Callithrix jacchus: one gene and its partners. The protein of the gene in region 6 interacts with the protein of the main gene of each other region in a pairwise test. Links are inferred from orthologs where the notes say so. Each region holds a gene or a part of one and is shown on either strand. Other genes may lie near its edges. The genes, in order: DZIP3, SF3B4, PRMT2, PRPF40A, HNRNPF, HNRNPUL1 and WWP2.

Region 1 (3,162 bases), on a different chromosome or scaffold from region 6:
GCAGATATGTAATTTGACACAGGAAAAGATAATCATACAAAAGAAAGGTTTTTCAGGGAAGTGAACAATAGCCAATTCAGTCAACCCATGTTTTTAAGACATCATTTCAAAGATATGATATGTGGTACCTGGTACAGACTTATACTTTGCATTTGCTTTGATATGAAGAGAGATCCACAAAATGCCTAATCCCAAAAGTTCTCCAGGAAAGATCCTTAGCTGTTGACTTTCCCCTTTGAAGTTTATAAGGTCCTATAATTTGGAAAATATATGTTCAACAAAACTTATCTTATTCTTTGCCATTGCCCATGAGTAGAAAGCACATAATTCATTTATGTTATTTTTTATGGCTATAGTTAGTGGGCCTATTATATATAGTGCTTAATATTAATCCTCTCTCATCTGACCCACCCCTCCATTATTTATATAGGGAAAAATGATTTGTTTTTGGAGAGTCAGTATTCAAGCAAATGACTTAACCGATAGTTCATGGTCAAAAATTACTATCATTATCACCGAAGAAAACAATCTGAGAAGTATATTTGTCATTTAGGGATTTTAACTGCAAACACCATAAGCATTTCATACCAAGTACTAGAGACTTTCACAGATTAGTTATGACTTTTTCTGGATTATAAATGAGAACAGTATATAATAAACCAAAGAAAGAATATAGCAAGTTTCTCTAATTTCTTTGTCAGGAGGAATTGCTAGTCATCTTGAAAATGGGGGTTGGAGAAATAATTTCTAATAGAATAAACTGGCTAAAAGATATTGTGCATTCACCACCTATTTTGCTCAGCAAACCATAGGAAGTGCCATGTTTGCAGCAATTGTCTTGACAAGCCATAGGGTAAGGCTTTAAAGATCCACCCAAAGAAGTGACAACTGCCTTTGCTAGGCTAAATTTAAGAGACTGACATAAATCTTTTTGCTCCTTAGTGCATTAGACCATGGTTGATGCAACAGGGGACATGTCCAACCTGCAGACTCCACGTTTTGCTACCAGAAGAATTCCCTGGTCACCCTAGCCGGCAGTTGCCCAAGATCTGATATAAGGTGGGGGGTGCCTATGCAGGGGAAGCTCAGTTTTCAGACTCCAAAATTTAGATCTGCCTTTTATTATGAGCTGCTTGTGTAAGTGGTGTAAAGCTGTGTGCTCTTCAATACAGTGCTAAAGAAGCCAGCTAATCTTATCAAAACAGCAGCCAAAGAAGTCAGGACAAATCTTCGTGACTTGTGAACTGAACTGAAGGGGCTTGAAGCAGATGGAATTGTAATAGTTACACTATATTTGCTCTTATCTTAGTAGGTTTTTTTTTGTAATGGAAACATGATAACTGTTAGTATATTTCTTAGGATGTTTTGATGTTTTTTCTTGTCTTTTTAAAATTCTTATTTCACTCATCCTTTACTCTCCCCTCAAGTATTCTACACTATAATTTTCTGAAATAAATTTAAGCAAGAGGAAAAGGGAAATAGTAAGGAAGTAGGAAAATCACACAGAAATTCGTATTCCTTCTAACTTTTTTTTTTTTTTTGAGACAGAGTTTTGCTCTTGTTGCCCAGGCTGGAGTGCAATGGCGGGATCTTGGCTCACTGCAACCTCCACCTCCCAGGTTCAAGCAGTTCTCTCGTCTCAGCCTCCCAGGTAGCTGGGATTACAGGTGCATGCCACCATGCCCTATATTTTTAGTAGAGACAGGGCTTCATCATATTGTTCATGCTGGTCTTGAATTTCTGACCTCAGGTGATCCACCCGCCTCAGCCTCCCAAAGTGCTGGGATTACAGGCATGAGCCACTGTGCCCAGCACCTCCTAACTTTTAAAACCTTCTTAAAAATATAATTGACTTAAGTTTTATCTCAATATTCCCCATTCTTTTATATCCTCTTACATAGGCACCCACGAAGAGATTATGAGCTACTTGAAGGTAGAGGGCATACAGTGGTGTGTCAGAGCTGGCTTATAATGGTTTGTGAGTAGCAATCATTCATTTGAGGAGTTTTGTGAGACAGTTGTCAAATTGTTGGTAGCTTGAAATCTGCCACAGTTGGAGGATTTATACCGTAGAAATTGGTAAATGCTCTAAGTGAAGACCCACCTTTCCCTCAAGAGCTAGTTGTGAAACCTTTACCAGCACACCAGTAGACCTTGTCTAAAACTTCTTTGTGTTCCCAGTGCCTTGCCCAGTAGCTACAGGATAAATTTTACCAGAATCAGAAATCAGGAAGTGGTAAGAAAAGGAGTTAATATGCAAACTAAATTATTCACTCAATTGAATAATTGAGATCTTCTGTTCCTTGGACTTTAATCATTTGCATTTTGGAGAAATTTTTTTTCTGCTTTAAAAGTCTGTAATTTCACTTTCTTATGTCAGAAGAGGAGAAAACTATTTGTCCGTAGTTGCTTTTTGTGACAAAGTTAATACACACTAAGATAAGTTACATATCTAAAGCTTGTCACTAAGAATTTTCATTTTTAGGGGTAAAAAATCTATTTTGAAAATAGTGTTGTGTGAATTGTGTAAGTGTTGTACATGTCTCTGGTTTCAGAATTAAAAGAATTCAGAGTTACCATGTGAGATCAATGTCCTTTGGTTTGTATTCACAGTTTCATTTAATTTATGAGGAAGAATAAATATTTCCTGACTCAAAAGCAATTTTACCTGTATATTTCAATCCAAATATATTTTGAAAGTACTTTAAATCTCTATTCAAAACATCTGCTTCTGTAATTGTATGTTAAACATATTCTTCTGTAATGAGAATAGACTGGAACATGTAAGGGAAAAATATCAGAAAATGATGGCAGTCATCTAGAGATTTAAAATACCAAGAATGTCTTAGAATTGCAGAATTTAGAATTTATAGAGCCCCACCTTGTCTAGCACCTTGTATTAGTCCGTTTTCATGCTGCTGATAAAAACGTCCTTGAGACTGGGCAATTTACAAAAGAGATTTGATGGACTTAACAGTTCCACATGACTGGGAAGGCCTCACAATCATGGTGGAAGGCAAAGAGGAGCAAGTCACATCTTCATGGATGGCAGCAGACAAGGAAAGAGAGCGTGTGCAGGGAAGCTTCCATTTTTAAAACCATCAGATCAGACCAGGTGCAGTGGCTCATCCCTGTAATCCCAGCACTTTGGGAGGCTGAGGC
Region 2 (4,092 bases), on a different chromosome or scaffold from region 6:
TTTCCTTACAGTTTTCTGAGAATGAGGTGGATACAGGAAACACCCTGTCTCCTCTGTGTATTTTTGTAGTGGAATTGCTATTTAAGGGGTTCATTAAAGCATGGTATTTATACACATTGTTGGCATTGTTTCTTGTGTTTGAATAAAGGATTCTCCTAGGTAGCAAAGAGTGGTGGGTAAAAGGTGGGTGTGACCCAAGAGAGGAAGGCATCCACCATATTATTGATAAGGAAACAGAGGAACTGGGTCTAGTGAGGCGCTGCAGAATTAAAGTGCAGTTTGGGGAAAGGGTTAGATGGGGCACGAGCATGTCAGGATGTTGTCGCTACCGGGCGCGGTGGCTCACGCCTGTAATCCCAGCACTTTGGGAGGCCGAGGCAGGGGGATCGTGAGATCAAGAGCTCGAGACTATCCTGGCCAACATGATGAAACCCTGTCTCTACTAAAAATACAAAAATTAGCTGGGTGTGGTGGCACGCGCCTGTAGTCCCAGCTACTCGGGAGGCTGAGGCAGGAGAATTGCTTGAACCCAGGAGGCGGAGGTTGCAGCGAGCTGAGATCGTGCCACTGCACTCCAGCCTGGCGATGGAGCGAGACTGTCTCAAAAAAAAAAAAAAAAAAAAAATGTCTCTGGGGCCAGAGTGTTCTAGAAATCCATACTGAAGTCTCTGAGCCCATCCACCCATCAGCTGTGGTCAAACACCCTCGGAGCAGCCTGATTCCCACCACCCTTCCCCTCCCCATGTTATTACGACGAAGTGAGCGCAGACGTCACTCCAGCTCAGACATTCCGCAGTCTCCTCCCCTGAAGGAAAACCAATACCTCCAGCCCAAATCAGGGCTGTGAGGCCAAATCAGGGCTGTGAGGCCAAATCTGCAAGAAGGCTGCAGGCGAGATGGAAGCTTCCCTCTGCGCCTGAAAGCAGCCGAGTCCTCCGGCTGCGGGGACTCTTCAGCACGTTCTTCTCTGGGAAACAAAAGAAGAATCAGTGGCCACAAAATATAGCAAAAGTAAAGCCTTGTCCTTTCAGAGTTCGAATTTACATTTTTGGGAGCAGTGTGATTTTTTCAAGCTTAGCATTAAGAGGGTCTGAGCGTTTCCATTTCGCCCTCCTCGCTTAGACCACTAGCAACAGAACAACTGCGCGGGAGGCGAAGACTATACCGGTCGAGCCGGGTTAAAACAAGGAGGCTCCTAAGATGGCTGCGGCTGCTCCCAGGCACTTCCTCTTCTGCGGCCCCGCCCACCATACGTCAGCCTTCGCCCCGGAAGTGGAAGTCGGGCTGAGGTCAGAGAGCGGAACCGCTGCTGGGAGACGGCGGGAGCTCCTTCGCCATGGCTGCCGGGCCGATCTCCGAGCGGAACCAGGGTAACTGGAGGGGGAGAATCTGGAATGCGCTCAGCATGGCGAGGAGGTCCCGACTAGGGTCAGCAGTGCCTCTGCAGGGGTGGGAAGCTGAACTCCTCGGTTCCCCAGAGGGCGCGAAACCGGCCCCATGCCTGCTGGGGGCGGGGTGGCTGGGTGCTGGCTTAGGCCTGTTGGTGTGATACTTTTATGTCCAATCCCCTGCTGCCTTCCCACTCAAAAAAATCCACCCAGAATACTAAATTAGCCTTGAGAGGATTTCCTAAGTCTTGGGAAGAAAGAGGTTTAAGGGTTAAACGTATTTTTTTTTTTTTTTTTGCTCCTACCCTGCCCCGGTCCCCAGTTCCTCTGGTTGGGTTCCATCTTCATGTTTCCATCACCTCCTTTCCTGTTATACTCTCACCGTTGCCCTGACTTTCTGCTCCCTCCCTTCAGATGCCACTGTGTACGTCGGGGGCCTGGATGAGAAGGTTAGTGAACCGCTGCTGTGGGAACTGTTTCTCCAGGCTGGACCGGTAGTCAACACCCACATGCCAAAGGATAGAGTCACTGGCCAGCACCAAGGTGAGTACATGGCAAGGGGCAAATTGCTCCTGGAGGGTCCCAGCAGTATTCACAACTGTTTTGGAATGAGATGAGCAACCTAAAGATTTCTTTGTTTTAAGCCTCAGTTCAGTTTATTTCTGGAGCCATTCTCAAATAAAGTGAGGTTGTTTCTCATTCTTTGTGATCAGAGGGGAGGTGAGTTTTACCCCATTTTGAATCTCTTCACTTAGGTTGTTAACCTCCTCTCCACTTCTGCAGGCTATGGCTTTGTGGAATTCTTGAGTGAGGAAGATGCAGACTATGCCATTAAGATCATGAACATGATCAAACTCTATGGGAAGCCAATACGGGTGAACAAGGCATCAGCTCACAACAAAAACCTGGATGTAGGGGCCAACATTTTCATTGGCAACCTGGACCCTGAGATTGATGAGAAGTTGCTTTATGATACTTTCAGCGCCTTTGGGGTCATCTTACAAACCCCTAAGATTATGCGGGACCCTGACACAGGCAACTCCAAAGGTTATGCCTTTATTAATTTTGCTTCATTTGATGCTTCGGATGCAGCAATTGAAGCCATGAATGGGCAGTACCTCTGTAACCGCCCTATCACTGTATCTTACGCCTTCAAGAAGGACTCCAAGGGTGAGCGCCATGGCTCAGCAGCTGAACGACTTTTGGCAGCTCAGAACCCACTCTCCCAGGCTGACCGTCCTCATCAGCTGTTTGCAGATGCGCCTCCTCCACCCTCTGCCCCCAATCCTGTGGTATCATCACTGGGGTCTGGGCTTCCTCCACCAGGTAAGGCTTTTGGTTAAAATATGTTTGTCCTTAAGGTTGGAGGAGTGCAGCAGGGGAAGAAAAAAGAGTCTGAAAGAGGGACATTGAGTCAATGAGTGATGGGAAGAGTGATGGGAAGTCAGTGAGTGATGGGAAGTGGTGGAGGAGAATGTTGTTGGGTATCTTTGGGAGGCTGAAGTTATTTGACTATTCTAACATTGCTTTTGATTTTCCAGCACTGGGAGGAGGGGCAAAGAACTCGCCGTGGCTGGAGAGGCCAAATATGGTCAGCTCTTTGAAGACATTTTCTCCCCACTACCATTAACTCTTCCTTCTTCCATTTCCTCTACAGGCATGCCTCCTCCTGGCTCCTTCCCACCCCCAGTGCCGCCTCCTGGAGCCCTCCCACCTGGGATACCTCCAGCCATGCCCCCACCACCTATGCCGCCTGGGGCTGCAGGACACGGCCCCCCGTCGGCAGGAACCCCAGGGGCAGGACATCCTGGTCATGGACACTCACATCCTCATCCATTCCCACCAGGTGGGATGCCCCATCCAGGTAGGTGTGCTTTGTTGGGAAAGGGAGGGAAGAGCTTGGTAGAGCATCTCTGTCACCACTCACCCTGCTGCCCTTTGTTCAACAGTAACAGTTTAAGAGTTTTCCTTTTCTTCAGACATTCTCTTATAAAAAAACATACAAAATACACTCTAACAGCTACCAGTCTGAAATGATTTCTTAAGTTTTTCTGATGAGCAGACTATGCTTGCTGTTTTTTGTTTCTTTACCTTTTAGTTCCATTCTCTCCTCTAACTCCACCTCAAAGTGGTGACCTAATTGCCAAATCTCAGGGACAGTTCTCCTTATCTGGTTTGACCTCTGATGTACTTGAAACGTGTCTTCCTATTTGAAATTCCTGTCTCGGCTGGGCATGGTGGCTTCTGCCTGTAATCCCTGCATTTTGGGAGGCTAAGCTGGGTGGATCACCTGAGGTCAGCAGTTTGAGACCAGTCTGGCCAACATGATGAAACCCCATCTGTACTAAAATACAAAAGATTAGGTGGGCATGGTAACTTGCTCCTGTAATCCCAGCTACTCGGGAGGCTGAGGCAGGAGAATCCCTTGAACCTGGGCAGCGGAGGTTGCAGTGAACTGAGATTGTGCCACTGCACTCCAGCCTGGTCAAGAAGAGCAAAAACTCCGTCTCGAAAGAAAAAAGGAAAACAAATTCTTGGCTGGGCACGGTGGCTCATGCCTGTAATCCCAGCACTTTGGGAGGCTGAGGCGGGCAGATCACCTGAGGTTGGGAGTTCAAGGCCAGCCTGACCAACATGGAGAAACACCGTCTCTACTAAAAATACAAAAAATTAGCCAGATACGGTGGCACATGCCTGTAAGCTC
Region 3 (4,017 bases), on a different chromosome or scaffold from region 6:
TGAGGGCTAAGAGAGATGAAAAGGTTTATAATATTTAATAAAATAATAAATGAAAAATTCCCAAGTCTAGCAAGAAATTTAGATATCCAAATATAAGGGGCTCAATATTTTCCAAAGAAATAAAATGCATAAAGGACTTTGCCACGGGAGATGACAATCAGACTGTTTAAAGTCAAAGTGAAAGAGAAAATTCTGAAAACATAAATAGAAAAGTAAAGTGTCTTGTCACCTATAAAGGAAAGCCTACCCGACTAACAGCAGACTTCTCAGCAGAATCATTATAAGACAAAGTCCTGAAAGAAAAAAAGGGCAGCTAAGAATTTTATAGCCACCAAACTTAACTTTCATAAATGAGGAACAAATGTCTTTCCCAGATAAAGAAATGCTAAGGAAATCCATCACTACTTGACTGGTCCTACAAGAAATGCTTAAAAGAGTCCTAACTTGGAAGCAAAAGGATTACATTAACCATTATGAAAACACGCGAAAGTATAAAACTCATAGGTAAAGTAATTACACAAAGGAGGAAGAGAAAGGAATCAAGTGATACCACTATAGAATTCCACCAAACCACAGTTACAGAAAAATAAAAATAAAAAAGCAATAATAAAACAACTAGAAAACAACAATATGGCAAGGACAAAACTTCAGATATTAATATTAGCCTTGAATGTAAACTAATTAAATGCTCCACTTAGAAGATACAGTTTGGTGGATTGCTGTCTACCATCCTAGGAGCAGGGGGGAAAAAACCCTCATCTTTCCTGTTGGAAGTGAGCTCAAACTCCACAAAGGAGTTACCTGCCTTTTCTTGCCATGGAAGCAGGAAAAAACTTGCCTTCCTTGTGTTGGATGCAAGGACCCCTGTCCCCCTTCCCCCCCACACAAAAGGAGCTGTACAGCAAAATAAACTTTAGAGCTTGACCAAATCTGAGTAGATCAGGGATTCTCTGGAGGGATTGCTTCCATGCCTCAGCAAATTCTCCTATTTGTTTGAGCCATAAGGATAGCTCAAACTGGTACCAAAGACCGATAGGAGATTTGTCAAAGCCCTTTGGGGTTACCAAAATGTGAATAGTAGAATACCTCTACTCAGAAGCCCTTTGGGGTTACCAAAATGTGAATCTCAAATATCTGATACAGGTCTCGGTCCATTTAGGAAGTTTATTTTGCCAAAGTTAAGGATGCATGTCCATGAAACGGCCTCAAGAGGTCCTGAAGACATGTGCCCAAGGTGATCAGAGCACAGCTGGTTTTATACGTTTCAGGGAGACATGAGACATCAATCAAGATACGTACGATGAACATTGGTTTGGTCTGAAAGGTGGGACAACTCGAAGCAAAAGAGGGATAACTTGAAGCGGGAGGCGGCTTCCGGTTCACAGGTAAGTAAGGGACGTTTGCATTCCCGAGTTTCGGGTTGGCCTCTCCACGGGAGGTAATCAGCTATGCACTTACCTGAGCAGAAAGATGACGCTGAATAGAATGGGAGGCAGGTTTGCCCTAAGCGGTTCTCAGCTTGACTTCCCCCTTTGGCTTAATGATGTGGGAGCCCCAAGATTTATTTTCCTTCTACATTTTCTATCAGACCTACGGTCTGCCTTGATGCTAACGCCGGAGGAGTATAGTAAGGCTGTCCAACCCCTCCTTCTCCTCAAGGCCGGAACAGTCCCTCAGGTTGAATTTCAGGGTGTCCTGGTCAAGGAGGGAGTCCGGTCAGATGGCTGCAGGGGGCCCTTCGAATTTATGTCTGTTTTACAGGCATCAGTGCCGCCCATTTCTCATGAACCCCACACTTCCTCTCAGCAAAACAGAAACGTTATCATTCTGCTTCCATTTGTCCAGAAGAAAGGCAGAGGGCGCACACTGTGCAGCGCGGATGGGAAAGTTAATTGAATTATTTGAGAGAAAACAGGAAGACGTGCGCGGGCGCGTCCTCCACGGAAGCCTCAGCCATTTTGTGGCTCGTAGGGGTTCTGTTTCCCAGGCCGTGAAGTGCCCAGCTCCGCCCCCCGCCCTAGGTCGGACTCCTGCCCACGCCCTGCACCCCGGGTCGGACCCCAAGCCGAGAGACGCGGCTGGGCGGTTGGGGACAAGCTCTACACATGGGGGCGCTCGGCCTCGGGTTGGCACGACCGCAGAGGCGCAGACATGCAGTGCGCCTGCGTAGGACGCTGTCCTAGCTACAGATGGTCTGTGCGCAGTGCGCCTGCGCGAGCCGAGGGCGGTGGCCCGGCTTCCCAAGAGGGCGGGGCGTCTGGGGACGACGCCTGCGCGGGGGCGCCTGGCTGTGGGCTGGGCCTTCTCGGCTGACGGCCTGCGCGCACTGCGCTTGCGCGGGTTGAGGGCGGTGGCTCAGGCTCCTGGAAGGGACCATCCGCCCCTCGGCACTGGCAGTGTGAACGCGCAACTCAGCGGAGAAACGCGGCTGAGGTAGGTTTCCTGATGGGCAGCTCAGGCGGCTGGACTGCACGTAAGGCAAGACAGGCCAGGTGAGGCGTCCTCGCACTCCCTGTACGCCGCTGGCAGACTTAGGCCTCCGCCCCCCTTTGGGACCTCCGATCGCCCTCGCGTTGTGTGCTTCCTGTCCTGGCGTCCAAACGGGAGCTCGGCCCTCGCCACACCCTTCCCAGTGCGCCGCGCCCCCTCCCGGCCACGCCCACCACCCAGCGCCGGCTCCGGCCACACCCTCCGCGGTCACGCCCACCTCACCACCAGCCCTGCCACGCCCTTCGCGGTTACGCCCCACGGGCTAGGCGATCTCTGTCCTGAAGCTCTAGGCGCGCTCGCAGCCTGACCCTGTTGTGCTCCTGCGTCCACGCGCGGCCCCCTCGCTTCTTGCCCGCTTCTTGCCCCGTTCTCACCCGCCTTCATTGGCCACCTGTTCCCACTCCCCATGAGCCTGTTCCTCCCAAGGGCATCTTAGGTGGGCCCGGATCCTGCGCGCACCCCAGCACCCACTCCAACCCATCCCAATTTGGACGCCGGTTTTCCAATGAAAATATAATTCTGTAAATCAGTATTTGTAACTATGAACATCACAAAAATGAGCATCAAGTCTGAATTTAGAAGTGAAGCTTGCATTTTAAACAAAGAATTGCCATGCGATTGCAAAAGCACATTCGTCCCAGAGCGGAGTGTGGGTTACACTGTTACTGGAAAAATAAAAATTGAGAAGGAAAAGACCGGAAGATGCACACCTTCGTTCCTGTTAGTGGAAACACCAAAGTCCCAGGTAGGGACTTTCAATTGGAATTAAAGCTGTCACATTTCTAAGAAAAGAATGAATACTGATTTATATTGCTTTAAGTCGACATTTGATCTGACAGAAACTAACAGGCTTCAGCGAATGAGTAAGATTAACACCTTGTGGACTAGTGAAGAAAACACGCACTGTTTGAAGTTTATGATTTTTAAATGCTTTTGTCTTTGTGAAGAATTGTGATTATAATTTTCACTTCTATACCATTCTTCGCACATACACATTTTATTTCTATTTGGTAGAGGACCTTTGTCATGGACCTTAGAAGTTAAGTGAACTTAATTATTAACGTGGCAAGTACTTTGTGTCTCCTTCTCTTTTTAAAAGTAGAAATGGAGAAGAAAATGAAATAAAGCAGGAGTTATGAGGCAGAGCCCAAGAGAACTATGGCAACATCAGGTGACTGTCCCAGAAGTGAATCACAGGTAATTTCGGTTCCAGTTCCTAAAAATCTGTGTTTAATGAATGGGAACATTACAGAGAGTTAAGTGTCACCTCACAGATGTGATGGAACTTGACTTGTGCCTTGGAAGGTGGCCACACAGTAGAATGCTTAAATGTGAAGATTGTGAGGCAGAGGAGACGCGGTGTCTGTAGGATGACATCCTGCACTGGGCACCATCAACCCTTCCAAAGAAATAGCCCCAAAACAGCAGCATCATTTAGGCTTCCATTTTTGGTACGTGAACTGGCAAAGCAAGCATATTTTCTGAGCTGTTCAATAAAATTTCATGCGTAATACCAGCAATATATCG
Region 4 (3,500 bases), on a different chromosome or scaffold from region 6:
GCACAGTCAGCCATAAACAGTGTAAAACAAATGAACATGGGCATGTTCGTGTACAACTATAATTACAAAAATTAATAGGCTGAATTTGTCTAGTGGATCATAGTTTGTCAACACTGATTTAGATCCTTAAATTTTATTTATATTCACACTTGCCCAAATGCTTAGAGTTACTATAGCACTAATATGAAACCAGTAAATAAGTTTAATAAGCCATTTAAAACTATTATGCTATTGGTCAGAGGAGCTAATGTTTTAGGTCAGTTAAGCGTTTATTTTGTCATTTGTACAGGGTCTTAAAAAGTGATTTAATAACTGAAGTTTTAAGAAACTGTATTTTTAGGGTTCATATAGCTTTTATTCTAAATGTCAAATTTAGCTCAACATCAAACATTCAAACAATTTAGGCATTATTTTTATAAATGAAGCAAAAATTTATTTAATTCAAAAATACCACATTTAAATTTCTCTCTAGTTTTACTCCCAAAAAAGAAGAGGAGGAGAGCCAACCAGCAAAGAAAACATATACTTGGAATACAAAGGAGGAGGCAAAGCAAGCTTTTAAAGAATTATTGAAAGAAAAGGTATTAATATTGCAGATTTTTGTTGTTTCTTAGCTTTTTGACATCAAGCATTATAGATTTTTAGGTGACACATAATAATTACTTGGTAAATGAGGTTACTCTTTAATTAGCACGTTGATGGTATTGATAATTCCAATCTCATGAACTGTTGTAACCAAATATCAACTAAATAAGTCTTGTTTTTTTTTTTGAAGAACTCTTTTGTGAAACTGACTTTCAACACAAAAACTATTGTGCACAAGGTACTTCACAAGCACATTTCTATCCAATATTTAATTTAAGGCTTTTTAATTCATAATAATTATTTATCTTTTATCAGTAGTTTAAGAAAAAGGCATTTATGATCTTTAAATTTCAGTATAAAGTTTTCATTTTAGTTCATAGGTGTATTACACAGATTTGCCTTCAATAAAAAACACATTTTTTTTTTTGTTTTTTGTTTTTTGGGTTTTTTTTTGAGACGGAATCTCACTCCGTCACCAAGCTAGAGTGCAGTGGCGTGATCTCTGCTCACTGCAACCTCTGCCTCCCGGGTTCAAGCACTTCTTCTGCCTCAGCCTCCCGAGTAGCTGGGATTACAGGCATCCACCACCTTGCGCAGCTAGTTTTTGTGTTCTTAGTAGAGACAGGGTTTCACTATCCTGACCAGGATGGTCTCGATCTCTCTACCTCATGATCTACCTGCCATGGCCTCCCGAAGTATTAGAATTACAGGTGTGAGCCACCACTCCAGGCCAATAAAATACTATTTTTTAAAACTTGTTTCAAACTCCTGCAAAGGGAAGAGCTTAATGTTTACAGTGAGTACTGTACTTGGTTCCCTATTATGTGACTTTATTCTTGTGTGACATTTTAATTTGTCATTTAAATGATTTTCAGCGGGTACCATCGAATGCTTCATGGGAGCAAGCTATGAAAATGATTATAAATGATCCACGATACAGGTAGTACTTCAATTTTTTATTTACTTTTCACTTTGACCATAGCAAGTGTAGCACATTTAAAAGTTGTATAGAAAGATACAACATTTAACTCCATTGACTTCTGTTGTTTAGGATACCTAGTACAGAGTTGTTTTATGTCTAATATAAATCGAGAAGTCAAAGGCTCATCAAACAATTCGAGTACCCTGCTGTATATAAAACAAGAATTATTTTAAAAGTAGAAATTACTTCCTTGTCTTTAATAAATTTTTGAAATTTTCTTAATTTATATGTGAAAACAATTTTACTATTTTTTCAAACCACTATTTCATTATTTTGCCTGTGTTTACTCTTACATGATATTTTTCTATTAGTGCTTTGGCAAAGTTAAGTGAAAAAAAGCAAGCCTTTAATGCCTATAAAGTCCAGACAGAGAAAGAAGAAAAAGAAGAAGCAAGATCAAAGTACAAAGAGGCTAAAGAGTCCTTTCAGCGTTTTCTTGAAAATCATGAGAAAATGACTTCCACAACGAGATACAAGTAAGATGTTCAGTGTTCCATGGCCTGTATTTACTACATTGTTGTTTGTGTCATCTTTTTTGCCATGTGCAGTAGCTGATCCAGAGCTTATTAAATAAAGCTAGATGTCAATGAATGTAGAAGTTTCATGAGGTACAAAATAAATCTGTAGTTAAATATACAATTTAACTTACAGACTTACTAAGTGTTTTAGAGACTGAAAGAAGGGGAGAAAGACTGCATTTAATAATCAAGTTTGAGGCCAGATGTAGTGGCTCACACCTATAATTCCTACAGTTTGGGAGGCCGCAGCAGGCAGGTGGCTTGAGCCCAGAAGTTCAAGACCAGCCTTGGCAACATGGGAAAACCTGTCTCTAGAAAAAAAAAAAAAAAATACGAAAATTAGCTAATCATGGTGGCACATGCCTGTAGTCCCAGCTCCTTGGGAGGCTGAGGTGGGAGAATCACTTGAACCCAGAAATGTCAAGGCTGCAGTGAGCCATAATTGCACCATTGCACTCCAGGGTGACAGTGAGACCCTGTCCCCCCCTAAAGAAAAAAGGAAAAGAAAAATTTGATTGCCGTTTAATTAAAAACATTGAAATTATTGTTATTTGTGGGGAAAAAAGAGGCTATTTTCATTCAGTAGGTATAGCATTTTTAATAAACTGTTTTATATAGCATTCTTCATTTTAGGTTGCTTTATTATGTAAAATTGTGGGTAATTTAATATTAAAATTTTTTTCATATGTTATTAAACCTATTTTCCATGTGTACCTCTTTGTTTTCCTCCGTATTCTAGAGAAGTCTGTAATTTAGTTCTGAAGGCATTTTGGTAGTCCGTGTGGCTGCCCCTAGAATAAGACGTAGTCTAGACCATAAACGTTGCCCAATGTGAATTATCCCCTCTATCTCTAAGGAGAGATGGAGGCATGTGCTTTTTTCTGTGTGTGTGTGTGTGAGAGATTATCCAGGAGTTTGCCTTTAATACGTTTATGAGCTTAGAAAGTGTTCATTTTGTAGTTTTAAAATTGGTTAAAATTAATTTTTGTTGTATAATATCTTTTTAACAAATAGAAAAGCAGAGCAAATGTTTGGAGAGATGGAAGTTTGGAATGCAATATCAGAACGTGATCGTCTTGAAATCTATGAAGATGTTTTGTTCTTTCTTTCAAAAAAGGAAAAGGTATTATTCTTAGTTTTGGTATTTACAGATAACAAAAGATGTTTTCTCATTCTGATGAGAAGTGGTTTTATAACTTGTACATTTTTATGGCTTAGTTTATCTAGTTTATTTGGTATAGCAGATTTATTTATTTATTGGAAGTAATCTTTACAGAGGAATGTATAGCTTCTATAATAATAAGCTTCTTTTCCATTCATCTACCATATAAAGTACTACTGATGTAGAGTCAGTGAGTACTCATTCAGCTATTTGTATTGTCATTAATTGGCTGTCTTATGCTAACTTTGGAAAA
Region 5 (4,084 bases), on a different chromosome or scaffold from region 6:
AAAAGATGTTAAATTAGAGAAATAAACCGTAACATGTAAATACAATTTTTTTCACATGCCTATAATCCCAACACTTTGGTAGCGAAGAAGAATCCCTTGAACACAAAAGTTTTAAAATCAACATAAGACACCACCTCTACCAAAAATACAAAAATTAGCAGGGTGTGCTGGCGACTGCCTGTGGTCCCAGATACTCTGGCAGCTCAGGTGGGAGGATCACTTGAGCACAGGAGGATCTCGGCAGCGAGCTGAGAGCACACCACTGCACTCCAGTCTGGGCAAAAAAGCGAGACCTGTCTCAAAATGTAACTAAAAAAAAAATTTTTTTTTTATAGAGACAGGGTCAGTGTCTGCGGCCCAGGCTGGTCTCCAACTCGTGGGCCCAAGCGATCCTACTCGGCCTCCTTAACTGCTGGGACTACAAGCGGGAGCCACAGCGCCCGGCCTATAATGACGCTAATGATCTAAAGGATGCATGAGGAACGTAATATCTACAAGGCAAAAAATCTTCTTGCTTAGGAATAAAGCACTCTCTTAATGTTCATCAAAAGTAACAATGTCTTATTTTATGATTTAGAAATTCTGTCTAGAAGAGCAAGCAGAGGTCACTTTTCAGGGCTCGCACTTATGGCATCTTTCGCCTACCTGGAAAACCCAAGAAATTTTCATCTTACTAGGAATTAAGAGACAAATACACACTCAACTTTTTAAAATGTAAGTAGAATTATACATGCATATTTTTGGAAGAATTAAGATGACTTGTGGAACAGAACGACTACAAAGACTACGCTTTCAGAACTCCCTGCTGCCTGAGGCTGCGGCCCTGACCCCGGCACAGAGCCCGCCCCGCGCGGTTCCGGGAAGCCGCCGCCGCCCGTTGCCCTTCGCGCGCAGCCGCCAGCGCGCGCCTCCTGTCCCGCCACGCAGCTGGCCGGTCCGAGCCCCCGGTGCCCAAGAGCAGTTTCAAGAACTTAACAGCCATTTTAGTTCGTCCCCGGGTCGCTAGGAGACCGAAAAGCCGCAGCGAAGGGCGCCCCGCGGGCGACGGCCGAGTCCGGCTCTCCTTCCGCCCTCCCGCTGGGACCCACGCGGCGCCGAGCGGAGGTCCCTGGCGCCTGGGGGGAGGGGTTCCCGCGACCAGGGCGGTCTGGCTGGTAGGGCGAGTCTGGCGCCCCGCTCCTCAGAACTCTAGTCCACGACTCCGAGGTCGGGAGAGCGGGGCGCCAGCGCAGCGCGACCTAGGCCCGGTCCACAAGTTTTCTAGAAGCAGGGCGGAATCGACGAAAATACTTCAAACTAGCAAAAAAAAAAAAAAGGACAACTAAGCCGAAGAGCAGGTATGAGTCGAAGATTTCCACCCCAAATACAAACACCATACCTCTAGGAACTGGAGACTAACCCAGAGACTGCGCTCCGAGAACACGCGGCGCTGCCGAGGAGGAAAAAGAGCCCAGGGCGGAGAGTGAGGGCTGAGGGAACCGGGCGTGGGAGGAGGGCGGAGCCAGCTTCCTGCCAGAGTCTATTGCAACTCCGGCGCCTGCGGCCACGTGAGCGCACGGCTTTCATTTTACTCAGGTATTACTACTCTTGAGACTAGGTCTCACTCCCGTCAGCCAGGCTGGAATGCCGCGGCACTATCACTGGTCACTGCAGTCTCGACCTCTCCGGCGCAAGCGACCCTCCCGCCTTAGCCTCCCGAGTAGCTGGGACAACAGGCGCGCGCCACCACGCGTAAATTTTTCTTTTAATTTTTAGCAGAGACGGAGTTTAACTATCTTGACCAGGTTGGTCGGGAACTCCTGGGCTCAAGACATCTTCCCGCCTGGGCCTCCCGCCGCGCCAAGCCTGTTCTCACTTTCAGAGCCCTCCGACGGTCGCCAGCGCTCCACCAGGAGGCCCGGCTATAACGCACCCGGCCGGCCATGTCTTCCCAGCCACCCGACTCCAAAATCTCAGGCCGCGGTGCTCACCCCGTGGGACCAGTGTCTGGGCGTACGGCTCTCTACCTACGACGCTGCGCCTCCCGACCCCAGTGGAGCCAGTCCTCGCCGGTCCCATGTACCGGCGCCTCGACCTCGAATCCCGTCAACCCAAATCTCAGCCCCTCAGTATGTGCAATCCTCCCTCGGCCCCAGATGTGCGGCGCTTGAACTCGGATCTCGCTTCCCTAATCCCAAATCTCAGGCCCAGCCCCACAATCCCCACCCCACTAGGCCCAATCGCCAGGGTGCGGGTACGCGGCCCCGGACCTCGAGTGATCTCCCGAATCTCAAATCCCAGCCCCACGGTCTCCACCCCCAGAGTACTCGGTCCCCGCTCGGTCCCGGGTGGCCGCCCCTCACCTCGGCCTCCGAGTCTCTACGTTCCCGCTCTCACATCAGGAACCCTGGTCGTCCCTCGGAGCACCTAGCGGAGGGTGAAAAGCGGGGAACTTGGCAGTTGTAGCTGTGGCAGTTGAGGCTTGTTGACCATCACCATGGAAACCCCCGGCTGCGAGCACGGGGCGGGGCCTAACAGAGGCGGGGGCAGGAACGCGACCGGTCCCAGTCCTCAGGGCCTGCCTGTCGAGTGCACGCGGCTTTGCCGGAAGCCCTCCTGCTCCCGGCGTGCCAGGCGCCGGCTAGGCCCTACTCCCCGGCTCGGCCCTTCGCCCTGGACACCTGGAAACAGAAACCCAAAGAGCCCGCGTCCCCACCCCGCTGCTACCTGCCGGCGTGACCGCAATTCGGTGCCCCAAGAACCTCACCTTAAGGAAGACGCGGCGCAGGCCTCCTTCCACGACGGACCGGAAAGACGCAAGGACCGCGGCAGGGTGGAGCCTTTGCGTATGGCTTCCGGGGGCGGGGCCGCGACGACGCTATTGTGACGCGCCCAGCGGGGAGCCGTCGATTGGGCGGCAGGCCGCAGGGCGGAGCCGACACTGGGGTGGGGGCAGGGGAGGCCGCGGAGACTCTTGAGCCCGGACGTTTCTGGAGAAGACAGGGGAGGGGAGGGGACGGGAGGAGGAAGAGGGAGTGGAGCGGCGGGAAAGATCCCTCTTACTTCCGCTGACTCCCTGGAGGAACGACAGTGGTGAGACTCGCAGGACTCTGAAATGTGCGCCGAAAGGACGCCTGATTTGAAGACTGGGCTGAAAGAAGGAAATGAGAGCCGATTCCCGGGCGTGGTGGTGCATGCCTGTGGTCCCAGTAATTTGGGAGGCTGAGGCGGGAGAATCACTTGAGCCCGGGAAGTCAAGGATGCAGTTTAGCCCTGAGTGCTCCACTGCCTCCAGCCTGGGCGTCAGAGCGAGACGCTGTCTCAAAAAAAATTTTTTAAGGAAAAAAATACACTGAGGGCAGGGCGCAGTGCCTCACTCCTGTAATCCCAGCACTTTGGGAGGCGGAGGGGGGCGGATCACGAGGTCAGGAGATCCAGGCCAGCCTGGCCAACATGGTGAAACCCCGTCTCTACTAAAATACAAAAAAAAAGGACGGCGTAATGGCGCGCGCCTGTAGTCCCAGCTACTCGGGAGTCTGAGGCAGGTGAATCGCTTGAACCCAAAAGGTGGAGGTTGCAGTGAGGCGAGATTGCGCTACTGCACTCCAACCTGGCAACCGAGTGAGACTCCGTCTCAAAAAAAAAAAAAAGCCGGGTGCGGTGGCTCAAGCCTGTAATCCCAGCACTTTGGGAGGCCGAGGCGGGTGGATCACGAGGGCAAGAGATCGAGACCATCCTGGTCAACATGGTGAAACCCCGTCTCTACTAAAAATACAAAAAATTAGCTGGGCATGGTGGCGCATACCTGTAATCCCAGCTACTCAGGAGGCTGAGGCAGGAGAATTGCCTGAACCGAGGAGGCCGAGGTTGTGGTGAGCCGAGATGGCGCCATTGCACTCCAGCCTGGGTAACAAGAGCGAAACTCTGTCTCAAAAATAAAAATAAATAAATAATAAAAATAAAACAGGCCGGGCGCGGTGGCTCACGCCTGTAATCCCAGCACTTTGGGAGACTGAAGCAGGCAGATCACGAGATTGAGACCATCCTGGCCAACATGGTAAAACCCTGTCTCTACTAAAAAATACAAAAATTAGCTGGGCATGGT
Region 6 (4,218 bases):
GAAAAGACAGTATTTATTAACTCCATTTTACCCACAAGGAAACCAGGCTCACAGAGATGAAGTGACTTGACAATATTGTTAAGCCAGATTTGAAACAAAGTCTGTTTGAGTCTAGGGACTACACTCCAAAGCACCTAATTCACTCTCCTCTCAGACAGGACTCTCTGGCCAGACCTCCAGGTCACTACTACTGCACTACCCTTTCTTGCTAGGCATTCCTGCCAGTCCCTCCTGCTTTAGACATGCACACAGGGCCACTCCTTTCTTCACAAGTCTCTGCAATGGGAAGTCCCCTTTCCAGCACCTGGATTCTGAATAATTCCTAAGCCACTGTCTATCCCAAATCCACACTTGGGTTATCTCCCTCCAGGAAACCTTACCTCTTATGAACAAGTATCCAATGCCAATCCCAACTCCTGTCTCTTCTGTTATCTCATTTTTCTTCTCATTCCCTTAGCCCCAAGTCCCAGGATGCCCTCTTTTCAGAAAAACTCTACAAACTCTATGCCAGAATCCCTTCTACTTACTGCTTAACCTCTCCAGTAGGCACATTTCCCAGTCCTACTAGAAAGCTGCCCGGAGGCCTGGCACAGTGGTTCACACCTGTAATCCCAGCACCTCAGGAGGCCGAGGCGGCCAGATCACTTGAACCCAGGAGTTCATGACCAGCCTGGGTGTTTGGCGAACCCCCAACTCGAAAAAGGAAGGAAGGAAGGAAGGAAGGAAGGGAGGGAGGGAGGGAGGGAGGGAGAAAAACGGGAAGGGGAAGGGGAAAAGAAAGAAAGCTGCTTTTTTCTTTTTTTGGGGGGACAGAGCCTTGCTCTGTCACCAGGCTGGAGGGTAGTGGCGCGATGTCGGCTCACTGCAACCTTCACCTTCTGGGTTCAAGCGATTCTCCTGCCTCAGCCTTCCAAACAGCTGAGATGAGAGGCTGGCGCTACCACGCCCAGCTAATTTTTGCATTTTTAGTAGAGATGGGGTTTCACCATGTTGACCAGGATGGTCTGGATCTCTTGACTTCGTGATCTGCCTGCCTCGGCCTCCCAAAGTGCTGGGATTACAGGCGTGAGCCACTGCGCTCAACCAAGCTGCTTTTCTCTAACTGAAGATTCACTCCGTCCCATACCAGGGTTTCCTCTCCTCAGACAACCACAGATCTACCTGAACTCATTCCCAGAGTCCCACTTCCTGGCTGATGCAGAGGTTCCCTGCTGCTCCCTGAGGGTCCCCACTCCCTGGGTACATAAAAAACTGCTTCTGGCAACCAACGAGATTTCTCTTGGAGATGCTCGGGTCCAGAAACACTCTGCGCACTCCACTCTGGGGCCTCCAGTGAAGTCAACAGGTCTCCTTTCTCTTTGCTCCCTACAGCCTGCCCCTCCTCATACGCCCAACCAGCTCCATACTCCTTCAGTGCTGGATACAGGATCCTGTCTCCCGCCACATACTTCATCCACTTCGAATGTTACCAACTCATCTGCCCCCACCCCTCCCACCCCCAGCTACCCCCTGTTCGCGGAAAGCCCACAGTCAGCCCCAGGCCATTCAGCAGCAGCCTCGGAGTTATCTGTCCTCAGTCTTCCTAGCTCTAGACCCCCGGATCTTTTGTCCAGGGAAGCATCCTCTCCCCCGCCAGCCTCTGGACCTCTTCTAGCGGCCAACCAGAAAGTCCCCAGATCTCAAAGCACCACATGTCCAAGCTGTGCCTGCCTCAAGGGTGGCCTTCCAACCGCGGAAGAGAGATGCGGTGCCCTCTGGTTCAAGCTCCCGCATCCCCCTAAATGCTCACCAGCCAACCTCCAGAGCACTGAGTTCCTTCGATCCTCCCCAGCCACAGACACCAGCGCCTCCACCTCACCCACCCACCCCCGTAGCAAACGGGAGAACTCCCAGGATCGCATCCAGCGGCATACTCCAGGATCCTCCTTCTTCAAAACTCTCCCAGCCCCGCACACCTGGACATTCTCTCCCCACCCTGGAAACACGGCTCCCCGCCCCCCAGCCCACACGCTGGGCGAGCACGGCCGCCGAGCCCTCCGAGCTCCGAACCCCAGGATCCCCATTTTCGAGACCCTCACTAGCCCAAATGGAAAACGTCTTGTTCTTCCGAGTCTCTCCGGCCCCAGAAACCAAGTTTCCGGTCTCCGATCCGAGCCCCACGGTACGGAATCCTCCCCGCCACCCCGGCCTCTAATCTCCGAAACCCAGAGCCCCTCCCCCAGTGTCCCCCCTGCACCGAGTGTCAGGATCCACCCTCCGGTCGCGCCGGGGCCCTTGTCCCCAGATCCTTTTCAGCGGCGGGTGGCGGGATCCCCCGATCCTCTAGTCTTCTCCCCGACCTCAGGCGCTGGACTCCCGCGTCCCACAGCCCTTTCCTCGGCCCAGGCTCCGGGCTCCCCGGCCCCCGCCCCGCGCACTCTCACAATGTCCGTCCGGCCCCGAGTAGCCGCCGGGCTCCGCGTGCGGCTGCAGCCCGGGCGGCGGTGGCTGCGCGGTCCCCTCCAGCTCGGAGCCCCCCTCGGTCTCGACCTCCTCGTTGATGTGCCCAGGTCGCCCCGGTTCGTCGTCGGCCTCGAGCTCCCGCTCGTCGTCAGGCTCCTCGGCCTCCAACGCCGCCTGCAGCCGCTCAGCAAGCTCGGCCTTGAGGCCTCGAGTGTCCAGGCCGCGGCGCTGCAGCTCCTCGCGAAGTTCGTTCACCTTCAGACGGCGCACATCCATGGCCCGGGCCCCCGGGGTGGCCCCCGAGCCCGGCCCGGCCCCCCAGGGCTATGTCCCCCTTAAACCTTTCCTGTCAGAAGGCGAAGGGGGAAGGGGGGGGCCCACTCCAATGGCGGCGGCGGCTCAAAATGGCCGCCGCCGCCCTCTCCCCCCTCACCCGTGCCTCGTCCGATGTAACACGAGTGCCAATTGGTCAGTGCTTGGGGCAACGGGCGCCGGCCATGAGACCCAGCCAATCAGAACGCGGTTTTCAAAAAACGGCAACGAGAAGGCCCAAGAGCTACCGGGAAGGAAGCGTTGGCCTACGTCGAGGCCGAGGCCGGAGCGGAGGGCGGGAAAAGGCAGGAGGCGGGGCGCGCGCTGATTGGATAGCTCTCCCGCGCCTCCTGCCGTAAGGCCCAATGAAAACAAGGGAGTAACAGTTTGGTCCAATCGGCGGTGAGATCTCAGAATGAGTGCCCCACGGCCTTTCTGCGTAGTCCTTTCATCAAACTAAGTGTCTCTGTAACACACATTCCGATTGGTCTACATCTCCCGCCCCTTGAGGAGTCCGAGCGGGTAAAACCACAAGAACCAATGAAACGGAGTGTCGGCAGAAACCCCTCCTTCCTGTTGCCTTTAAGAAACCGGAAACAGATGAATTCACCGAGGGCCTGCCCCTTGCCGTTAGGGCGGTTTCAAAACAATCTGCCCACCAATCGTAGTTATTGTCTTAGCTCCTAAAGCTGGCAGAGATGGCTCGTTTTAGGAAAAGTTCACCAGATTGGCCGTGCTTTAGAGGATTGTCTCACAAATTTCGCTGTAGTAGGAGGTATATGGAATAGAGATTAAGTGAATATACAGTTCGTAATCTGAAAGAAACCCAGTCGTTTTTAGAAAAAGCAAAATTTTGACTTCAGGAAATCCCGAAGGTTTGGGGGTAGAGGCCAGACTAACAACGGGAGGCAAGTTGCCCTTCCCTTGGGTAGTCCGCAGCTGCCTTCCTCTATGGTGGGTACCTGACGTGGAACGGGCGCTCTGCACGCTACCATAGAGCCTTCCCCTCCCGAAAGACCTCCAGAAGTTCACCGACCGCTCTCCCGAATCCTCTAATCGGCTGTTCTCGTAAATCGGGCTATCTGGCGTCTGTACCTACAAGCTCAAACCCGCGGATCAGTCATTAAGGCTCGCGCTCATGAATACAAACGCCAGAGAGCTTCCCAGTGCCTAACGCCGCACCACCTGTCGCCTCTAACTCAGAAAGCAAAACTCGAGTAAGACGCAATCGGGGTACACGATGCAGACTCCTACTCCCTCCCGAGCCACACGTTAAGCCCGCAGAAGCCACACACCATCTCTACTTAGACAAAGGCACACCCCGCAGAGATAAACAAACAGGCATGCGTCACATCAGACGCATCCAGTTCTTTTTTTCCTCTTTCTTTCTTTCTTTCTTTTTTTTGAGATGGAGTCTGGCTCTTGTTGCCCAGGCTGGAGTACAGGGGCGCGATCTCGGCTCAC
Region 7 (3,500 bases), on a different chromosome or scaffold from region 6:
GAGGGGCAGCCTTGGTCACTCCTGTCCAAAGCCCTCGGTCTCCTCAATGGCATACAGCAGCTTCTCTCTCAGCTGTTCATAGCTCTTGTAGGGTGGGAGATCTAGACGGTTGAAGCTAAAGAGAGGAGGGAGGCGGGACAGTCAGCCCCGGGAGGCCAGAAGCTCCTGGACTACTGGAACAGAAGTGTTGCACATGTAAAACATGGTAGATCAGATGCCCATCACAGTCCCATCTCTCCAACCCAGTACCCCAGGGGCATGCAAACACTACACCCACTGGGCTGCCCCAGGAGCTCATCAAGTCTGAGGCTCTCTGATCTCCCAGTAATACCAGCAGGCTCACCAGGTGTGGCTTCTGGGCAGCCAGGTTTCCTTGCCAACCTTGTCAATGCAAAACTTCTGTGGTCCATTGCTACCTGTGATCCAAGGCAGAACACATCGGATGTCAACAGAGACGCCCCGTCCCAAAGCGGGACCCTCCAGCTCCACCCACAGACAGGCTTGGCTCTAGGACACAGAGGCCACAGCTCTTCCCCATCCCGCCAACCTGCTACCAGGAAGACACCAGGTCTCTCCTCCCTCTGAGGTGTGCTCACTGCCAGCCAGGGCACCAGAGGGCAAGGGAACACGTACCGATGAGTTCAGCAAATCCCCCAACGGGCAGGCGGCAGGTCCCAGTAACAAACTGCAGCAGCCGAATCCTCTTCTCATTGTCCATCTCCTTCACCACCTGCAACTCCGCAAGTCAAGGCACAGTCAGGCGGCCCCTGCGCCCAGCACTTCACCCTAATGAGGAGCTCTCCAGGTCAGCGGGGCCCCTCTTTGGGGCTGAGAACACAAAGCAAGGTTGGGCAGGGGGTGACAGCCTCCAACCTGAGAAACTCCGGAAGGGCTTTTGCTAAGAGGATGTGTTTGCAGAAGATTCCCACCGTCCATGGGACATCCCTGGGTCTCAGGGACGCCTCCGGTTGGATATTCTCTTCCCACCCAAGTTCTGCTTTTTAGGAATAGACTCAAGATGGGAGTGGCTGCTTAATGGGTAGAAGGCTGCTTTCTGGGGAGACTAAGTGTTCTGGAATTAGACAGTGGTGACAGTTGCACAACACTGTGAATGTACTGGAAGCCACTACTCTGTTGCACAGGCTGGAGTGCAGCGGCGCAATCTCAGTTCACTGTAGCCTCCGCCTCCCAGATTTAAGTGGTTCTCATGCATCAGCCTACTGAGGAGCTGGGATTACGGGTACCTGCCACCATGCCCAGCTAATTTTTTTGTACTTTTAGTAGAAAGGAGGTTTTACTATGTTGGCCAAGCTGGTCTTAAACTCCTGATCTCAAGTGATCTGCCCACCTCAGCCTGGGTGGGAAGCCACTGAATTGTGTATCTTTTTTTTTTTCCAAAGTCACTTCTACATTTTTGGGTATATGTATAGCAGTACCCCTTCCTGGTACCAAATTTACTTTATTATGAATTGTGTATTTTAAAAACTTAAATGGGTTGGGCACAGTGGCTCACGCCTGTAATCTCAGCACTTTGGGAGGCTGATGGGAGGACAGCTTGAGCCCAGGAGTTCAGCACCAGGCTGGGCAACATAGCAAGACCCTGTCTCTATTGAAAAAAAAAAATGTAATAGTTAATTGTATGTTATACAAATTCCACCTCTACAAAAAGTTCGTATATATACATATGCATACAGACATATACTAAGAATATCTGTAATAGTTATGGTTTTTTATATGCTATACTTCATAACAACAACAAAACCCATGCACACTAAGGAATCAACACATTAATTATACGTAGGATGACAGCTCTTTCTGTTTTCTGGAGCCAAACCCCTGCCTTCCTGTCCCATCTGGCTGGCAGGGGACCTCTCAGCCAGTGACAGGTGCCATCTGCCTGCAGGTCTGTCCCTGCACACCAGCTGGTCCAAGGCTGACAACCTCCTGTCACATGCACCGGTCCACCACTGACAACCTCCTGTCACACGCGCTGGTCCACCACTGACAACATCCTGTCACACGTGCTGGCCACCACTCCACTAGAACTGCCCCCGTTCATCCCAAAGCAGGTGTATCGTCTCCCTTTGCAAGTTATGGGAGGTGAGGACCGAGTCAAAGCTGAAGGTCCTTGCGCATGAGGTTTCCTCAGGACCCATTTCCTTTGGCCAATGGCCCAAATGTCCCTGCCAAAACCTGGGCCCCGAGACCCACCTGCCAGAACCACTGGATCTGCTTGCTGTTCTTGGTGTAGTGCCGGTAGATGGTGTTCTTCTGCCAGTCGCTCATGTCTATCTCCTGCATGCCACACAGCATCAGCTGGGGAGAGGAGGAATCAGCATCCTTAGTGGTCCATCCCTACTCATCGGCCACTGGCCAGCATTTGACACTGCCCCAAACGTCTTCAACTAGCTGTTTTTGGTGTCAGCGTTAATCATATGGGTAATGTAAGTCCCTTTTTCTTTTTTCTTTTTGAGATAGAGTCTCGCTCTGTCACCATGCTGGAGTGCAGTGGTGTGATCTCGGCTCACTGTAACCTCCGTCTCTCAGGTTCAAGAGATTCTCCTGCCTCAGCCTCCAGAAGTTTCTCCTTTCTTGAAACAAGTGTCTAGAAAAGGATGGGTACTGAGATGCCAAATCAAACCCATCTGCCCTGTCGAAGTGGGAGTTTTATTGGTGAGTGTCTGTGGGTACACAGTGAGCGTATCACATAGCAGGATCGCCCCAGAAGCAGGGGCTCGGGGTCCCAGCAACCTCAGACACTTACCTCCAGCTCTTTCTCATCAAAGTAGCGCAGCCACTCCAGTGGGGCCACCTCATTAAAGCCATCCAGGAAGGCTTTGGTCTGCTCTTCCACACCTCGGGTGAAACGCCAGTCGGTCAGCAGCCTGAGACCAAAGACCAGCCATGAGTGGAGCCTGAGACAGGCCACGTGGCCTGGACCTACACAGGACCACTGGATTAGCAAAACTGACTTCGCACACCCAGACCGAGCCTGCTGGAGGCCCCAGAGTGCGGCCCTGAGGACCTCACAGTGACCTGCAGACACCTGAGTTTTTGAAACCATCCTCACCACCACCTCCTCCTGCTCCTGCCCCCAGCACCGACTGAACCTCAGACGTATGGAAGCATGGAGATAAAAAGCCTAAACCGAGAGACCTGAGGAACAGGCATGGAGAACGGGGACACAGGAGACAGTGGGTCTAGGCACACAAGCCACGGAGATCCTTTCTGCCTGGAGAAACATGCAGACAGTTCAGCTTGTTGTGACTTCAAAGAAATTCTACCCAGCAGGCTTGAAATCTTTCACGTGGCGAAAAAGTGTAGCTTGGAGCTAGTAACTAAGGACCTCAGCTCTGGCTCCCCCAGCTCGTGCCATCATGTGACTGGCTGCTAGTAGCCACCATTGAGGCAGATGCAAATGGCAGGGTCCTGGATCCACAGTGACCCATAGGCCACAGGTGGCGGCCCATCTTTCTCTGCAACCCGCTAGGTTTCCTGCC

Evidence for each region.
Region 1: the proteins of HNRNPUL1 (region 6) and DZIP3 interact in binary tests that used the Homo sapiens proteins (3 or more experiments, as listed by UniProt). The link is inferred for Callithrix jacchus from reciprocal best matches to the Homo sapiens genes HNRNPUL1 and DZIP3.
Region 2: the proteins of HNRNPUL1 (region 6) and SF3B4 interact in binary tests that used the Homo sapiens proteins (3 or more experiments, as listed by UniProt). The link is inferred for Callithrix jacchus from reciprocal best matches to the Homo sapiens genes HNRNPUL1 and SF3B4.
Region 3: the proteins of HNRNPUL1 (region 6) and PRMT2 interact in a two-hybrid assay, tested with the Homo sapiens proteins (2 studies listed by BioGRID and IntAct). The link is inferred for Callithrix jacchus from reciprocal best matches to the Homo sapiens genes HNRNPUL1 and PRMT2.
Region 4: the proteins of HNRNPUL1 (region 6) and PRPF40A interact in a two-hybrid assay, tested with the Homo sapiens proteins (2 studies listed by BioGRID and IntAct). The link is inferred for Callithrix jacchus from reciprocal best matches to the Homo sapiens genes HNRNPUL1 and PRPF40A.
Region 5: the proteins of HNRNPUL1 (region 6) and HNRNPF interact in a two-hybrid assay, tested with the Homo sapiens proteins (3 studies listed by BioGRID and IntAct). The link is inferred for Callithrix jacchus from reciprocal best matches to the Homo sapiens genes HNRNPUL1 and HNRNPF.
Region 7: the proteins of HNRNPUL1 (region 6) and WWP2 interact in binary tests that used the Homo sapiens proteins (3 or more experiments, as listed by UniProt). The link is inferred for Callithrix jacchus from reciprocal best matches to the Homo sapiens genes HNRNPUL1 and WWP2.

What each region holds. Positions count from the first base shown.
Region 1 is NC_133516.1:99,759,451-99,762,612, forward strand, and holds the end of DZIP3 (E3 ubiquitin-protein ligase DZIP3), read left to right. Parts: intron 1-942; coding exon 943-1,053; 3' UTR 1,054-2,662; downstream 2,663-3,162. UniProt on the Homo sapiens protein: E3 Ubiquitin ligase proteins mediate ubiquitination and subsequent proteasomal degradation of target proteins.
Region 2 is NC_133519.1:9,859,729-9,863,820, reverse strand, and holds the start of SF3B4 (splicing factor 3B subunit 4), read left to right. Parts: upstream 1-1,292; 5' UTR 1,293-1,336; coding exon 1,337-1,370; intron 1,371-1,802; coding exon 1,803-1,931; intron 1,932-2,171; coding exon 2,172-2,714; intron 2,715-3,045; coding exon 3,046-3,252; intron 3,253-4,092. UniProt on the Homo sapiens protein: Component of the 17S U2 SnRNP complex of the spliceosome, a large ribonucleoprotein complex that removes introns from transcribed pre-mRNAs.
Region 3 is NC_133522.1:52,206,645-52,210,661, forward strand, and holds the start of PRMT2 (protein arginine N-methyltransferase 2), read left to right. Parts: upstream 1-1,217; 5' UTR 1,218-1,385; intron 1,386-1,458; exon of another isoform or gene 1,459-1,967; intron 1,968-2,343; exon of another isoform or gene 2,344-2,433; intron 2,434-3,131; exon of another isoform or gene 3,132-3,235; intron 3,236-3,589; 5' UTR 3,590-3,648; coding exon 3,649-3,687; intron 3,688-4,017. UniProt on the Homo sapiens protein: Arginine methyltransferase that methylates the guanidino nitrogens of arginyl residues in proteins such as STAT3, FBL, histone H4. Acts as a coactivator (with NCOA2) of the androgen receptor (AR)-mediated transactivation.
Region 4 is NC_133507.1:77,403,625-77,407,124, forward strand, and holds part of PRPF40A (pre-mRNA-processing factor 40 homolog A), read left to right. Parts: intron 1-472; coding exon 473-581; intron 582-1,460; coding exon 1,461-1,525; intron 1,526-1,878; coding exon 1,879-2,043; intron 2,044-3,099; coding exon 3,100-3,208; intron 3,209-3,500.
Region 5 is NC_133513.1:36,094,541-36,098,624, forward strand, and holds the start of HNRNPF (heterogeneous nuclear ribonucleoprotein F), read right to left. Parts: upstream 2,801-4,084; 5' UTR 2,747-2,800; intron 2,407-2,746; 5' UTR 2,343-2,406; intron 1,453-2,342; exon of another isoform or gene 1-1,452.
Region 6 is NC_133523.1:36,547,234-36,551,451, reverse strand, and holds the start of HNRNPUL1 (heterogeneous nuclear ribonucleoprotein U-like protein 1), read right to left. Parts: upstream 2,801-4,218; 5' UTR 2,719-2,800; coding exon 2,424-2,718; intron 1-2,423.
Region 7 is NC_133521.1:27,519,610-27,523,109, reverse strand, and holds part of WWP2 (NEDD4-like E3 ubiquitin-protein ligase WWP2), read right to left. Parts: intron 2,886-3,500; coding exon 2,765-2,885; intron 2,317-2,764; coding exon 2,212-2,316; intron 731-2,211; coding exon 634-730; intron 417-633; coding exon 344-416; intron 174-343; coding exon of another isoform or gene 116-173; coding exon 16-115; 3' UTR 1-15. UniProt on the Homo sapiens protein: E3 ubiquitin-protein ligase which accepts ubiquitin from an E2 ubiquitin-conjugating enzyme in the form of a thioester and then directly transfers the ubiquitin to targeted substrates.